Linked DNA regions of Pelodiscus sinensis. The protein of the gene in region 2 purifies or fractionates together with the protein of the main gene of each other region. This does not show direct contact. Links are inferred from orthologs where the notes say so. Each region holds a gene or a part of one and is shown on either strand. Other genes may lie near its edges.

Region 1 (7,649 bases), on a different chromosome or scaffold from region 2:
CTTTCTTCCACTATTTGATCTGAGGAAGTGGGTCTGGCCCACGAAAGCTCATCATCTAATAAACCATCTTGTTAGTCTTTAAAGTGCTACATTGTCCTGCATTTTGCTTCATACTAGATTTAGCAATTGTTCTTAAGGCATATTAATGTTAAAACACACTGAGAAAGGAACACAGATGCATGAATCTCTCACAATAGTATTACTGTTTCACACAACTCTTTACCTATCCAACTACTTAAACTTCCAGTTTAATGTGACATTCTACCCAGTTACACCTGAACAAGCAGCTGCAATTTAGACATTTTGTTGCAAGTCATGACTGGATTTAACTTCAAGTCAGCAGAGAAAGGTATAGTATCTTTCAAAAGACTTGAGGAGAGTGCCCATTCTACCACTATCAATAACACTGCTGAATACATCCGAGAATCTAAGTTAATTAGAAAAAATGCAATTTACTCTCAATTTTCCCTAAGATCGTATTTGAGAACTTGGCATGTTTTCTTAACCCCTTTTAAGTGAAGTGACTGATCTAGTGAATAGAAGATGCTGTTTTCAGAAGAACCTAAACCTCAGTAGCAAGAAACACTGTTGGCAAGAACTACATAATGGCTGAAGATCCATCACAAGTTATTTTATTTATACTAACTGGAAGTTAATGTTCAGGAGTTGGTAGCCTTTCTACATTTCCTAATGCTGTCATTTGTTTCAAAGGGTAGGCCTGACAAAAATAGCTGACTGGAAACATGGCTGTTTGCTGCCAACACTTTTCAGATCTAAATAGGAAGGTGCCACTTAACATGGAATACATTATATTCACAATGCTTAATGTAAGTGTCTCACCAATGGATAACCACCACAAAGCAATAATTCCAAATACAACCTTATACACTAACTCTATGCAAGACATTCAGATTCAGTAACAATGATACAGGTAGGGCTTTCCCAAGCAAGTAGGCCTGGGGCCTTCCTTCCAAGTTACTGGGAGCTCTTCTTACACTATCTTATTTGCAGTTCTAGGTTTAAAATCCCAGCTCCACCATTGTCTTGCTGTGTGACCTTGGATAAATCATTTAATACCACAGAGAGGACAATATTACCCCACTTGTAAAGCAGGGGTGAAACTTACCCTCCTTTGTACAATGCAGAGATTTACAGAGGACTACAAATGTCTCAAGGGGTGGGTATTTTTCTATGCCACATTAATCCATGAACAAGCTCTGCAGCGTAGCTACTACGTGTAGGCATTTTAGGTTTTTGTTTGATAGAACACACCAGCTATGTAAAGCACAGAACAAAGGTTGCCACTTTGTATCTAGCCTAACACAACCAAGTTTTCTTCCCTCCTGTTTGTGTCCCTCCTCTAACTCTTCCCCCCCCCCTTAAAATATTTGCTTTCAGAAGGATCCCTATTGTCCACAGCCCCAGCAACGTTTACTCTTTTCCACAGCGTCACTCCTTTCTGTGCGGCCAGAGGAATGTTCTTCTCACACCGATGGTGCCAAACACACTGGGGCTTTCAGAGCACAGGAACCGCTCCATGAAACGGCTTGTTTTTGTAGCCCAGACGGCTCGATGTTTCTCAACCCCCAGCACCACCCGAGAGAGCAGGCAGCCCCCCCCCCCCCCTTACTTCGGCCTGCATGCACGATGATCCTTGCAGGGAGGCTGCGGGAGGCCTGGGCTACCCCCCCCCCCATTCCAACCCTGTCCGCAGTTAATTACACCCCCAGGCCGCCACCCCCACCCCCATTCGCACCCTGTCCCCAGTGAATTACACCCCCAGACCACCACCCCCCATTCCAACCCTGTCCGCATTGAATTACACCCCCAGGCCGCCACCCCCACCCCCATTCGCACCCTGTCCCCAGTGAATTACACCCCCAGGCCGCCACCCCCCATTCCAACCCTGCCCGCAGTGAATTACACCCCCAGGCCGCCACCCCCCCCCCCATTCCAACCCTGCCCCCAGTGAATTACACCCCCAGGCCGCCACCCCCCATTCCAACCCTGCCCGCAGTGAATTACACCCCCAGGCCGCTACCCCCCCCATTCCAACCCTGCCCCCAGTGAATTACACCCCCAGGCCGCTACCCCCCCCCCATTCCAACCCTGCCCCCAGTGAATTACACCCCCAGGCCGCCACCCCCCATTCCAACCCTGCCCCCAGTGAATTACACCCCCAGGCCGCCACCCCCCATTCCAACCCTGCCCGCAGTGAATTACACCCCCAGGCCGCCACCCCACCCCATTCCAACCCTGCCCGCAGTGAATTACACCCCCAGGCCGCCACCCCCCCCATTCCAACCCTGCCCCCAGTGAATTACACCCCCAGGCCGCTACCCCCCCCATTCCAACCCTGCCCCCAGTGAATTACACCCCCAGGCCGCCACCCCCCCCATTCGCACCCTGCCCCCAGTGAATTACACCCCCAGGCCGCCACCCCCCCCATTCGCACCCTGTCCCCAGTGAATTACACCCCCAGATACCCCCGTCCCGAGTGCATTATTGCCCCATGTGCCCCCCCACTCTCACCCTGTGCCCATGAATTACAGCCCCGCTCCCAGCCCCCCCCGCAGTGAACCACACCCCCAGCCCCCCCCGGCCCGCCCCCACCATTCCCACACGCTGAATTACCGCCCCGGGCCACCCCCAGCCCTGCACGCAGCGCGGTGCCGGAGACCCCCCCCCCCACGAGGGGCGCCCCCCCCGCGCCCTGCCCCCAAGCGGGCCCGGCCGGGGGGGGGGTCCCAGCTTCCTTCCCCTCCCCCCGGCCCGCCGAGCGGCGCCGAGCCCGCGCGTGCCCGTGACGCCGGGGCAGGAGCCCCCCCCGCGGGGCGCGAGGAGGGGGCGCGGCAGGGCCCCCCCGTTACCTGCGGACGGAGCGGGACTGGAGCAGGAGGCTTCGCGACAGGCCGGCCGGGCAATGGCAAAACCTCACGCAACGGCGTGCTCACCCGCCGGCTGCATATATCCGGCGCGCAGCCTAACCCCGCCGCACCGCGCCAGCCAATCACCGAGCGCCGCACTTCGCAGCTCGGACGCCGTTTGGCCAGGGCCGCCAAAGCAGGGCGGTGCTTCGTGAGTGGCATCGAACGCACCCTATCGGCACTGCCGTGAGGCAGGACGCCGTTAGGTGAGCGACGTAAGAACCAGCCAACAGGCGTTGAAATGGCAGCCCCTAGGGCGGGATAAAGCTCGACTGACTCCCCCGGTGACCAATAAGGCGACGCAACTTTCGCTATGAGGTGAAAGTTGGACGAGGCGGAGGTAAGGTGCCCGCGTAGGGTGGTTACGCCGTAGAGCGGCGCCCTGGAGATCAGGCTAGGTAAACCCCGTTTTAGACAGGGCCGGCACTCGTTTCGGGTCTGGGCGCCGCAGCCAATTAGGAAGCCCGGCTGGCCCTGACTGACAGGCCGCACGCGACAGGCTCTTAAAGGGAAAGGCGGCACCGAGGCAGAGTCAGCCCGCCCCCGGCCGGCAGCCGGGCCCCGCCCCACGGGGGGAAGGGCCGCCCGCGCCTCCCCCCACCTGCTGCACCAGGCCACGTGCTGCTCCCCCCAGCTGCTCTGGCCCCGCCCCCTGGGTCACCGTGACCCCCCCCCCGCCTGCCTACCACCGCACGGCTCCAGAACCCCCCTCCCCGCCTCCCTACCGCCGCACGGCTCCAGAACCCCCTCCCCCCCGCCTCCCTACCACCGCACGGCTCCAGAACCCCCTCCCCCCCGCCTCCCTACCACCGCACGGCTCCAGAACCCCCTCCCCCCCGCCTCCCTACCGCCGCACGGCTCCAGAACCCCCCCCGCCTCCCTACCACCGCACGGCTCCAGAACCCCCTCCCCCCCGCCTCCCTACCGCCGCACGGCTCCAGAACCCCCCCCGCCTCCCTACCACCGCACGGCTCCAGAACCCCCTCCCCCCCGCCTCCCTACCACCGCACGGCTCCAGAACCCCCCCCGCCTCCCTACCACCGCACGGCTCCAGAACCCCCTCCCCCCCGCCTCCCTACCACCGCACGGCTCCAGAACCCCCCCCGCCTCCCTACCACCGCACGGCTCCAGAACCCCCCCCGCCTCCCTACCACCGCACGGCTCCAGAACCCCCTCCCCCCCGCCTCCCTACCACCGTACGGCTCCAGAACCCCCCCCGCCTCCCTACCACCGCACGGCTCCAGAACCCCCTCCCCCGCCTCCCTACCACCGCACGGCTCCAGAACCCCCCCCCCGCCTCCCTACCACCGCACGGCTCCAGAACCCCCTCCCCCCCGCCTCCCTACCACCGCACGGCTCCAGAACCCCCTCCCCCCGCCTCCCTACCACCGCACGGCTCCAGAACCCCCTCCCCCCGCCTCCCTACCACCGCACGGCTCCAGAACCCCCCCCCGCCTCCCTACCACCGCACGGCTCCAGAACCCCCCCCCCGCCTCCCTACCACCGCACGGCTCCAGAACCCCCTCCCCCGCCTCCCTACCACCGCACGGCTCCAGAACCCCCCCCGCCTCCCTACCACCGCACGGCTCCAGAACCCCCTCCCCCGCCTCCCTACCACCGCACGGCTCCAGAACCCCCCCCCCCGCCTCCCTACCACAGCACGGCTCCAGAACCCCCCCCTCCCCCGCCTCCCTACCACCGCACGGCTCCAGAACCCCCCCCCCCGCCTCCCTACCACCGCACGGCTCCAGAACCCCCCCGCCTCCCTACCACACACGGCTCCAGAACCCCCCCCCCGCCTCCCTACCACCGCACGGCTCCAGAACCCCCCCCCGTCTGCCTACCACCGCACGGCTCCAGAACCCCCCCCGCCTCCCTACCACCGCACGGCTCCAGAACCCCCCCCCCCGCCTCCCTACCACCGCACGGCTCCAGAACCCCCCCCGCTTCCCTACCACCGCACGGCTCCAGAACCCCCCCCCGCCTCCCTACCACCGCACAGCCCCGCCATCGCCAACCCCCCCACCAGGCTCCCTACCACCGTACAGCCCCGCCATCGCCAACCCCCCCACCAGGCTCCCTACCACCGTACAGCTCCAGAATGCCCCCCTCCCGGCCTCCCTACCACCATATGGCTGCCAACCCCGAACCCACCACTGCCGACCCTCCCCCCCGCCTCCCTACCACCATCCGGCCGCCTCCCCCAAACCCGCCACCACTGACCCCCCCGGCCTCCCTACCACTGTACGGCCGCCACTGCCAAACCCACCGCCGCCGACCCCTTTTCCCCAGCCTGCCTACCACCGTACGGCCACCACCGTACAGCCCCACCACAGACAGCCTCCTCACCACCATATGGCCCCGCCTCCACCAAACCTGCCACCATCCCCTAAACCCACCACAGCTGGTCCTAGCCTCCATACGGCCCTGCTACAGCCAGCTTCCCTCAGCCTCTGTACCACTGTACATCCCCACCATCCACTGAATCCACCACAGCCAGCCTCCCCCAGCCTCTGTAACACTGTACGGCCCCGCCACCTGCTGACCACACAGTTGGCCTCCCTCAGTCTCCGCACCACTGTACAGCTCCACCACCCTCCAAAGCTGCTACAGCCGGCCTCCCTGGGGCCCAGCCTCAATACCACCGTATGGCCCAGTCACCCACTGAACCTGCCACAGCTGGTCTCCCTAGGGCCTACCCTCTCCCAGCCTCCCTACCACTGTATGACCCTGACACCTGCCAAACCCACCACAGCCAGCCTTACCCAGCCTCCATACCACTGTTTGGCCCTTCCACCCACCAGACCATTCATAGCTGGCCTCTATACCACTGTATGGCCCCATCACCCACTGAACCCGCCAGAGCTAGCCTACCCGGGGCCCAGTCACCTGCCAAACCCAGCCTCCACAAGGCCCAGCCTCACCCCGCCTCCATATTACTGTACTGCCCCGTCACCCACTGAACCTGCCACAGCCAGTCTCTGTGGGGCCCAGCCTGACTCAGCACGACCCAATCACCCGCTGAATCCACGGTGTCCAGCCTTGGGACCTCTGCACAGCCGGCCTTCCATCAGTCACGTGCTGATCCCACCACTTGCAGCCTCCAGTTCTCTGCACAGCCTGCCTTCCACAGAGCCAAGGCCTCACCCAGCCTCTCTACCACAGTACGGCCTGGTCAGCTACTTCTGGCCCAGGGTGTCCATCTTCAATGCTGGGTCAAGGCCTCACCCAGCCTCCAAACCACAAGCTGGCTGGTCACCCATTCTGACACAGCCCATCCAGGCCATGGCTTTCCCAACCTTCAAAACCCAGCCCAGTCCAGCCACCCCTTCCTCCCTGGCACATCCGGACTCTGTAGCGCCATATGGCCCAGACAGGTATTGTCACCTGTCTTCACCTGGGCATTTGTGCGGCTCAGATCATCCTGGTCACTCTGTGCTTTCTCCCACCATCCCAGTCTTCCTGGAAGATTCCTCCACATTGTGCAAAGCACTAAACTGTCTCCATTCCCATTATTTCCTTGGGACTGCCACACTGGGTGGTGCAATATCAAAGTTCAGTAGCACCAAGAATGAACCTTCGGGGCGGACACTGCATCCTCTAAAAGGTTCTCTTTCCACCCAGGGCTCCCTGCGCATACAGCCCTACCAGCTTGATCGTCACAGATCCCGTAACCTCCTGGGAAAATGCTCAACCTTCTCTTAAGAGGTTTCAGCATAGGAATATGATCAAATCCATTCCCACTGGACACAAAACTCCATCCTGAGGCTTCCCAGCCAACATCCCAAGTAACAAGTCCACTTGGAAATCAGATCACCCACTACACTCAGACTGGTGAGCCCGCAGGAGCATCTAGATGAGAAAACAAATAACACAGTTCACCTGTCTGTGCAGCAGCAATTTCTTTTTCCTCTTTTGCAATTTCTTACTGAAACAGAGAAATCAAGCCAACTGAAACTTGCTCTGAAAGCTTTGATAAGGCAGAGGTTCAGGTTTTTGCATTGCCTCATCAGTGCTCTACCCTAAAAATACCACTCTCCAAGTGGAAAGAGATGCCCCGTTACTGATCCATCCCATAAAATCCATGTCACATTGCATGTCGTCACCTGAAAGGATAAAAGAGCCCCAGAAGGCACAGCAACTTTCGTACCACAGCCTTGCTTCCACAAAGTAAAAGCAGTCAGGGCTTGAAGTCAGTTTCCTAAGGCACATGTTTGGTTTTGCTGTGGAGGTGGTGGACACTTGCTTGGACCAAACTGTCTGCCAAAGGGCCAAAATTTCCCTTCACCTACATCCTGTGCAGCGCTAAATCAGTGATGTTGCTTGGGAGGGGGAGCAAGGGTAACACCTGACCCTATAGCCAGGACTTAATGCCTCTTGTTCCCCTAGCAGGCAGCCACTGTATGAATCTCCTTCCCTAGTTTCTTGCAGGGAGATTTACAGTCACTAGGCTGGCATTATGCCATCCTCAGCATTAATATTCCCCCCCCGCTTTTTTTTTTTTTTTTTTTTACTATTTATATCCTGAGCCACATTGCAAGCTGCCAGCTCATAGATCAGTAGCAAGGCCTTTGCAGAGTTTAGTACAAGCCAAGGGGCAGCCGTGTAAAATAACCCTGCCCCACAGCTGGGAGGACAAACAGCAGAGAGGCCCACAGCAGCACGGTCTCTCAGATAACCCCCACGCTTGCGGAAAGGGTCACATCAGCACCTACTTTTACA
Region 2 (8,014 bases):
CCAGTCTTAGCAAGGAGCTACTGCAACCAGGGAAAAGGCACCTTTCCCTCCTCCACAATAGCTTCCATTGGCTCATCAGGCACCTACAAAGCCATGCATCTTAGAGGGAACTCTGAATTATGTGTGCGCAAAGCCAATTACATATTGATCTTTTACATAATCCAGCCATCTTTATGAACATATCAGAGCACTGCACTTGCACCCAGGATGAATAAGGAATTCAAAGTAGTTTGCTTTGTCAACACTAGCTCCTACATATCCTATTAAGAGAAGTTAGCAAAAGCAGCTTGAAGTGTGTGCACTCTGGCTCACTAAAAGTAAACAAACATCTTATTTGTACAATAAAGTCAACTGTTGTCTATAATTGCTTATTGTGTTATTTCACATGACCTTGAGTGACAGGTTCAGATAGTATGAGCCTCCCAAATAATTTAGGTTCTACTGTACACCTTTCAAAACAATAAATGGATTATGAAAAGTAATAAGGAGGAAAGGAGAATAACTAAGGGCATTATTCTCCACCTCTTCGCAAAACACCCACTGCCTTCAATGAGAGCTCTACATGCAGAAAACTTCCAGAATTGAGCTGTAAAGGAACTTTGCATCTTATTAATATGCACCCAGCACTTAAAGCACCTCTGCTGAGTCACTCAAGAGATTCCATCACAAGGACTAACAGTTCTTAAAATATTCCAAACTTCAACAGAATACTTTGAGTACATTACACTATATCCAGTTTTTTTAATTTTCTGACAATTCTTTAGAAAACATACGCTGACATTTTAAAATTCATTCAGAAAACCCCTTGTGCAAAATGTTTTATTTAAAATGCAGCATTTTATAAGGTATTTCTCAGTCTCCCTTGCTAATTGACAGCATAAAGCAAACAGTGAAAATGGTATTTAAATGAAGTGCTATCAAATGCACGAAGTTAAGAAATTCCAAAATACAGAAAATTCTAGCTTTTTGCAGTATTGACCATCTTAGAAGTTCCTTGTAATAGTGTTTAAAAGATATTTAAAAATCCAACTTTGCACAAAAGTTCTAACCAAATGAGTTTAAAGCTACTGACCCAGACCTTTGTAAGTCAGCATGCTCTTTATAGTTCAGTTGGCACTGAAAACAGAGCATACTCTAAGTGACATTTCTGAGCACAATAATTAAAAATTAAAGTAAACTCAGTGTAAATTACTATGCTTATCGAATCATAGAGCTGGAAAAGACCTCAGGTGGTCATCAAGTCCAGCCTCCTGCTCTAGGCAAGACCAATCCCAACTTACAGTCAAATGAATTTTGAAAATACTAATGCAAATATCAATACCTAATTAAGTCTGCTATTAAGGCTTATCACTTGTATACATTTATACACAGCTTAGAATCAAACAAGTATTAACACACAACATGAACCAAAGTGTTATACCTTTAAAAACCATCTTAAAGGATCAAAGAATGATAACTATGAAAAATCAAACTACTTCCAACACTGAGTAAATATCCCCATTGAAACCAATTTATTAAAAACACTTCAAGACAATAAATCTAGAAGACAGAGTGGACACCTATCTTAACTGTTATTGCTTCTGTGAAAAGCTCAATGGGACAGGAGGTCAGGTCATGTTCGAATCGCACACATTCCCTACAATACCTGTGAAAAGGTTACAGAAACTATAATCTCATTCTGATCCAATGTTTACATGGAAATACCACCCAGAATCTCAACCAGAACAACACTTGCAGACGTCAGGCCACATGTCAAAACACGAGGCTATGATGACAGCCCACTGTCTTAGTTGTGCTGTTCTAGGGAGGGATACCGGGCGTTACTACCATTCGATTTCTTATCTGCTTTCGTGGAAAACTCAGTAGTAAGGATTTGGAAGAGCAACCCTCGTGAGAGCAGCGCTGGGTGGGAAAGAGGCATGAAGAGTGAACCGTCCCCCTGGGGAAGGTCTGCAGCAGCCATCAAACCCATTCCCCAGGCCAGTATCAGAGGGGTCGCTGTGTTAGTCTGAATCTGCAAAAGCGACGAGGAGTCCTGTGGCACCTTATAGACTAACTGCAGTGTAGGAGCATAAGCTTGCGTGGGCAAAGACCCACTTCGTCAGATGCATTCCCCAGGCGAGTCACCTCAGCACTAAGCCGTTTGCCAGAGGGGGCCTGCTCGGCGAGCAGCGTGACAGAGGCACGGTCCCAGCTGAGGCCGCTCCTCCCCCGGGCAAGGCGCACGTGGCGCAGGCCTGGCCCTGGGCACCTTGCTCCTCACCTGTTGATGAAGCCGTAGCCGTTTCTTACGTTGAACCATTTTACTGTTCCCAAAACCTTCGTTGCTGAAAGGGAAAACGTGACAGTCACGTGACGCCCCGCCCACGCAGGGCCGCCGAGCCAGGCTCCCCACCGCGGGCTCAGCGAGGCAGGCGGGCCGGGCCGCACCGCACCGCGCGCCGGGGGCCCCGGGCAGGCACGTGGCTAAGCGGGTTTCACACAAAGGCCCCGCGTGGCGGACATTTTGAGTGGCTCCGCGCCCGCCCCGCCCCCATCCGCCGCCGCACGCGGGGCTCAACGGCTCAAGCGGCGCGCGGGGGCCTAACGGCCACTGCGCGCGCACCAGACAGGGGTCTCGCGCCTTCCTGCGGGGGAGGAGGGATGACGCCCACAGACCCCTCCCCTTCCCCCCCTCAGCCCCCTCACCGATGACCTTCTTGTCCCCGCCGGCGGGGGGCGCCGCCGAGGCCAGGCCGCTGCCACCGTTGCCTGTGCCGCCGTTAGGTTTGGACTCGGCGGGGGCGGTGGGCGCCGCCGCGGGAAGAGGGGCGGCGGGCGGCTGGGTCTCGGCCTCGCTGCTCATGGCGGCGGCTGTTCGGTGCGGACGGTGGTGGTGACTGGCTGTTGCGCCGCCTCCCGCAGTGTGATGGTGACTGGGGCCGGCCGTGGGGGGGGGGCTGCTCCCTGCTCCGGGCTCGCTGGGCTCCGCTCTCCGCTCCCGATACCGATCGAACTGACCACAATGGCGGCCCGCACCGGCTAGCCACCCAGCACGCACCGCCCACTAGCTCTTTCACTGGCTGCGGAGCTTGCCCGTCACGGATCGTGCAAACCCATTGGCTTTTAGAAATCCGCCCTCAGGGGCTTGTCACACCCGTTGGCTGTGGCTCTCGCCCATCATAGAACGCGCTCCGTTATTAGGTGTTCTTATCCCGGCCACATTTTTGCTAGCGCCCATTGGCCGTCGAGCCTGCCCATCATACAACGCGTACACCCATTGGCTGCACGAATCACGGCTGCCGGGACTTGTTTCGGCCTGGTTCGTTACTCCTCCCTTTTGGAGCGTGGTTGGTGCAGCATCCCTGTGATCCCGCCTTCTGCACCTGGGAGGGAGCGGAAGGGCGCGGGCCGGAGCACGTGGCCTCGGTTGAACTCGTGCAGTTATCTAGGGGCACGTGCTCAGGTCGGAGCTGGGGCAGCCTGGCCCTCGCCTCCGCACACAGCCCCGCGGCGCCCAGTCTAAGGGGAAGTCTCTGCCTTCTCGCTGGCAAATAGGACTGCCACCTTGCTATTGGTACAAAACCGGCACACCCCAGCCTAGCCCCCAGAAGCCCCCCAGCATGTCTCTCAGCCCAGCTCCAACCCCCCACACACACACACACTATTCCTGTCTCATATGAAGCACCTTCACACATGTTCCTTGAAGGGCCCTGATGTGAATCTGAGCAGATCCCATCAGTCTGAGAGAAGTCCCCTGAGGCCTGAGCACTTCTAGGCTTGGAAGATGGTTTCTAGCTAGAATAATATAGCCAGTTAACACAGGCCACCCCAGGAATGGAGCCAGCTCTCCAATTTGGAAAGCATGATAAGGGACCCACTGAAGGTAGGGGGGTGGACTGGGATTTACAGTGAACTTGGAGCTAGGGCTTCAGCCTTTGGAGCACAAGATGGTGGGCTCAATCCCACACCCACCCACCCAGCAACAGGGCAGCTAACACCGTCTGCCCCAGGGATTAACCTAGCTCCTGCATTAGGAAAGCAGGATAAGGGACCCCCTGGAAGATAGGGAGGTGGAGTGGGCTGGGGTTAAGGCATTTGCTTGCAGAGGGCAGGGCTGTGAGTCCAAGGCCCTCCACCACCAGGAGCAGCTGGACAGTGGTAGAGGCTGGCTGATGGCAGTAGAATTGAAGATCCAGACTGTGAGAATCAGGACTAGGACCCAACAGTGCTTTTTGCTCCACTGGTAGCTTGTATCAGAGGGGTAGCCGTGTTAGTCTGAATCTGCAAAAGCGGTGAGGAGTCCTGGGGGTCTTTGCCCACGAAAGCTTATGCTCCAACACTTCAGTTAGTCTATAAGGTGCCACAGGACTCCTCGCCGCTTTTACAGGTAGCTTGTATCACTGCTGTGTGTGCTAGGAGATGGAAGTTGCTTTGTACATAAATGATCTAAAAGGATATTCCTATTTGCCAATGTGATCTGCTCCCCTGGCTGTCCAATCCATGATATTAGGCTGTGAGCCACACCCTCTACAACTCCACCTAAGTGGACTGAAGAATTGAAGAATTGCTCAGAACCGTGCATTTCCCTGCTGTTGTGTATTCATTACCAAGGGGCCAACACATTATCAATAAGCTACAGCCTATACTGGTGTTGGAGTCACTGGGCATGATCCTAGGTAACTCGGGGGAGTGGAAGATCACAAGGATCGATGAAGAGCCCCCGCTCTAGGCCCAAGCACCCTAAAAGCCCCCTTCCCCCCCGAGACATAACTTTTCTCTAGCTCGCTAACAGCTGGGAACAGCAAGACATTGAAAGTTGCCTAGTTACTATCAGTGGTATAGAAGAAGAATTCAGATGTGTTTCTGTAGAGGAGGAGGAGGGGGACTGGCAGCATGTCCCAGCCTGGGAAACTTGCTACAGTTCACTATTCTCCTGCAAGTAAACAACCTGGGTATATAAGGAGGGAAAACTGCTTACGTTGGTGTGCCTGACCTGAGATGTCTCCTGGAACCTATTTGAGCGTTCAAATAAATTTTTTTTGGCTTCTCCACACCGGTGTGTTTATTGGAGCGCGCACACCGGGCAACAAACCCAGCTGTTGCCCCCCTCGGGCACTGTGTGCCGGCAACACTGGAACAGGATACCATACCCCAAGAGGCTCTGGGAGACAGACCCATAGTCTCCTATAGACAACCACCTAACCTCAAGATGATTCTTACCAACAACCACAGGACATACCACACTAAGACCAACCCTGGTACCTTCCCTTGCAACAAACCCCGTTGCCAGCTTTGTCCACATATTCATTCTGCTGATACCATTGTTGGACCTAACCAAGTGAGTTATAAGATCAAGAACACACATTCCTGCGCATCCAGAAATATAATTTATGCTATCATGTGCCGAAAGTGTCCGTCTGCTATGTACATTGGACAAACAGGTGACAACCTGGGAAGCAGTGATCATGAGAAGGTAGATTTCAGGATACTGACCAAAGAAAGAAAAGAGAATAGTAAAATACACACCTTGGACTTCAAAAAAAGCGGATTTTGACTCCCTCGAAGACCTGATGGGCAGAATCCCCTGGGATGCTAACATGAAGGGGAAAGGAGTCTAGGACAGCTGGCAGTATTTTAAAGAAGCTTTATTGAAGGCACAGAAAGTAACCAGCCCTATGCGTAGCAAGAGAGGCAAACATGGTAGGAGACTGGATTGGCTTACAGGAGAAATCCTTGGTGAACTTAAGCACAAAAAGGAAGCTTACAAAAAGTGGAAACTTGGACAAATGACCAGGGAGGGGTTTAAATGTCTAGCTCAAGAATTCCGGGGGGTTATCAGGAAGGTGAAAGCGCAAATGGAATTGCGACTGGCTAAGGATGTGAAGGATAACAAGAAAGGTTTCTACAGTCATGTTAACAAGAAAAAGGTGATCAGAGAGGGTGTGGGGCCCCTACTCGATGAAGGAGGTAAGCTAGTGACAGATGATGTGGGGAAAGCTGAAATACTCAATGCTTTCTTTGCCTCTGTATTCATGGACAAGGTGGGCACTCAGACTAATGCGCTAAGTGACACAAGATGGGATGAAGATGGACAGCCCTTTGTGGGTAAAGAACAGGTTAGGAACTATTTAGAAAAGCTAAACGTATACAAATCTGTGGGTCCCAACTTAATGCATCGAGGGTACTGAGGGAGTTGGCAAATGTCATTGAGGAGCCTTTGGCCATTATCTTTGAAAAATTGTGGAGATCGGGAGAAATCCCGGATGATTGGAAAAAGGCAAATGTAGTGCCCATCTTCAAAAAAGGGAAGAAGGACGATCCAGGGAACTACAGGCCGGTCAGTCTTACCTCGGTCCCTGGAAAAATCATGGAAGGGATCCTTAAGGAATCCATTTTGAGGCACTTGGAAGAAAGGAAGGTGATTAGGAATAGTCAGCATGGATTCACAAAGGGCAAGTCGTGCCTGACCAATCTGATTAGCTTCTATGATGCGGTAACTGGCTCTGTGGATATGGGAAAGTCAGTGGATGTGATATACCTTGACTTAACAAGGCTTTTGATACGGTCTCCCACAACATTCTTGCCAGGAAGTTAAGGGAATGTGGATTGGATAAATGGACGGTAAGATGGATAGAAAGATGGCTAGAAGGCCAGGCCCAGCAGGTAGTGAGCAACATCTCGATGTCAGAATGGCGGTCGGTTTCTAGCAGAGTGCCCCAAGGTTCGGTTCTAGGACCGGTTTTGTTCAATATCTTTATTAATGACCTAGATTACGGGATGGATTGCACTCTCAGCAAGTTTGCGGATGATACTAAGCTGGGGGATAGGTAGATACGCTTCAGGGCAGAGATAGGATCCAGAGTGATTTAGACAAATTGGAGGATTGGGCCACAAGAAATCTGATGAGGTTCAAAAGGACAAGTGTAGAGTCCTGCACTTGGGACGGAAGAATCCCAAGCATAGTTACAAGCTGGGGACCAACCGGTTAAGTAGTAGTTCTGCAGAAAAGGACCTGGGGGTTACAATGGATGAGGAGCTGGATATGAGTCAAAAGTGTGCCCTTGTATCCAAGAAGGCTAATAGCATATTAGGTTGCATTAAGAGGAGCATTGCCAGCAGATCTAGAGATGTCATTATTCCCCTTTATTTGGCTTTGGTGAGGCCACATCTGGAGTATTGTGTCCAGTTCTGGGCTCCCCACTACAAAAAGGTAGGAGAGGGTCCAGCAGAGGACAACCAAAATGATTAGGAGGCTAGAGCATCTGACTTATGAGGAGAGGCTGAGGGAGTTGGGTCTGTTTAGTCTGCAGAAGCGAAGAGTGAGGGGGGATTTGATGGCAGCCTTCAACTTCCTGAAGGGAGATTCCAAAGAGGATGGAGAAAGGGTGTTCTCAGTAGTGATGGATGGCAGAACAAGGAGCAATGGTCTCAAGTTGTGGTGGGAGAGGTCCAGGTTGGATATTAGGAAAAACTCTTTCCCTAGGAGGGTAGTGAAGCACTGGAATGGGTTACCTAGAGAAGTAGTGGAGTCTCCATCCCTAGAGGTGTTTGAGTCTCGGCTTGGCAAAGCCCTGGCCGGGTTGATTTAGTCTAGAGCAGGGGGCTGGACTTGATGACCTTCTGGGGTCTCTTCCAGCTCTATGATTCTATGAACACTCCTTCCCGGCTCTCTGTCCTCAGCAAAGGTGCTTCTGGAGCAGAGAGCGAGAGTGAAGACAAAGATATAGGCACCCCCAGGATACTGTTATAAGCTTGTCCATGCAAAGAGAAATCCATTATTCTCCTGAGTAATGGTACCTCCCAAAATGGAGCTGATCACATGATCACCGTGTCCTTTATGGGCAGGAAGCCATGGAGTATCCAGGTATGTGCTCCCGAGGCAAAGGGCCATTGTATGCTCCTCAGGTGTCAATTGGCAACACTTACGAGCCTTTGCCCATGAAGCATTCACTATTCATTGGGCCACCACCACCCGCAATTTGTGGTCAATGCCTACTGCTGTCTCCTAGACAGAAAATATATACAGAGCCCA

The links. Proteins that work in one complex are often made in the same cells at the same time.
Region 1: the proteins of YBX1 (region 2) and G3BP1 purify together in Homo sapiens (affinity purification with mass spectrometry; 3 studies listed by BioGRID and IntAct, with this or other methods). This does not show direct contact. The link is inferred for Pelodiscus sinensis from reciprocal best matches to the Homo sapiens genes YBX1 and G3BP1.

What each region holds. Positions count from the first base shown.
Region 1 is NC_134727.1:36,251,750-36,259,398, reverse strand, and holds the start of G3BP1 (ras GTPase-activating protein-binding protein 1), read right to left. Parts: upstream 3,016-7,649; 5' UTR 2,871-3,015; intron 1-2,870. UniProt on the Homo sapiens protein: Protein involved in various processes, such as stress granule formation and innate immunity. Plays an essential role in stress granule formation.
Region 2 is NC_134733.1:3,158,472-3,166,485, forward strand, and holds the start of YBX1 (Y-box-binding protein 1), read right to left. Parts: upstream 3,006-8,014; 5' UTR 2,846-3,005; coding exon 2,689-2,845; intron 2,328-2,688; coding exon 2,264-2,327; intron 1-2,263. UniProt on the Homo sapiens protein: DNA- and RNA-binding protein involved in various processes, such as translational repression, RNA stabilization, mRNA splicing, DNA repair and transcription regulation.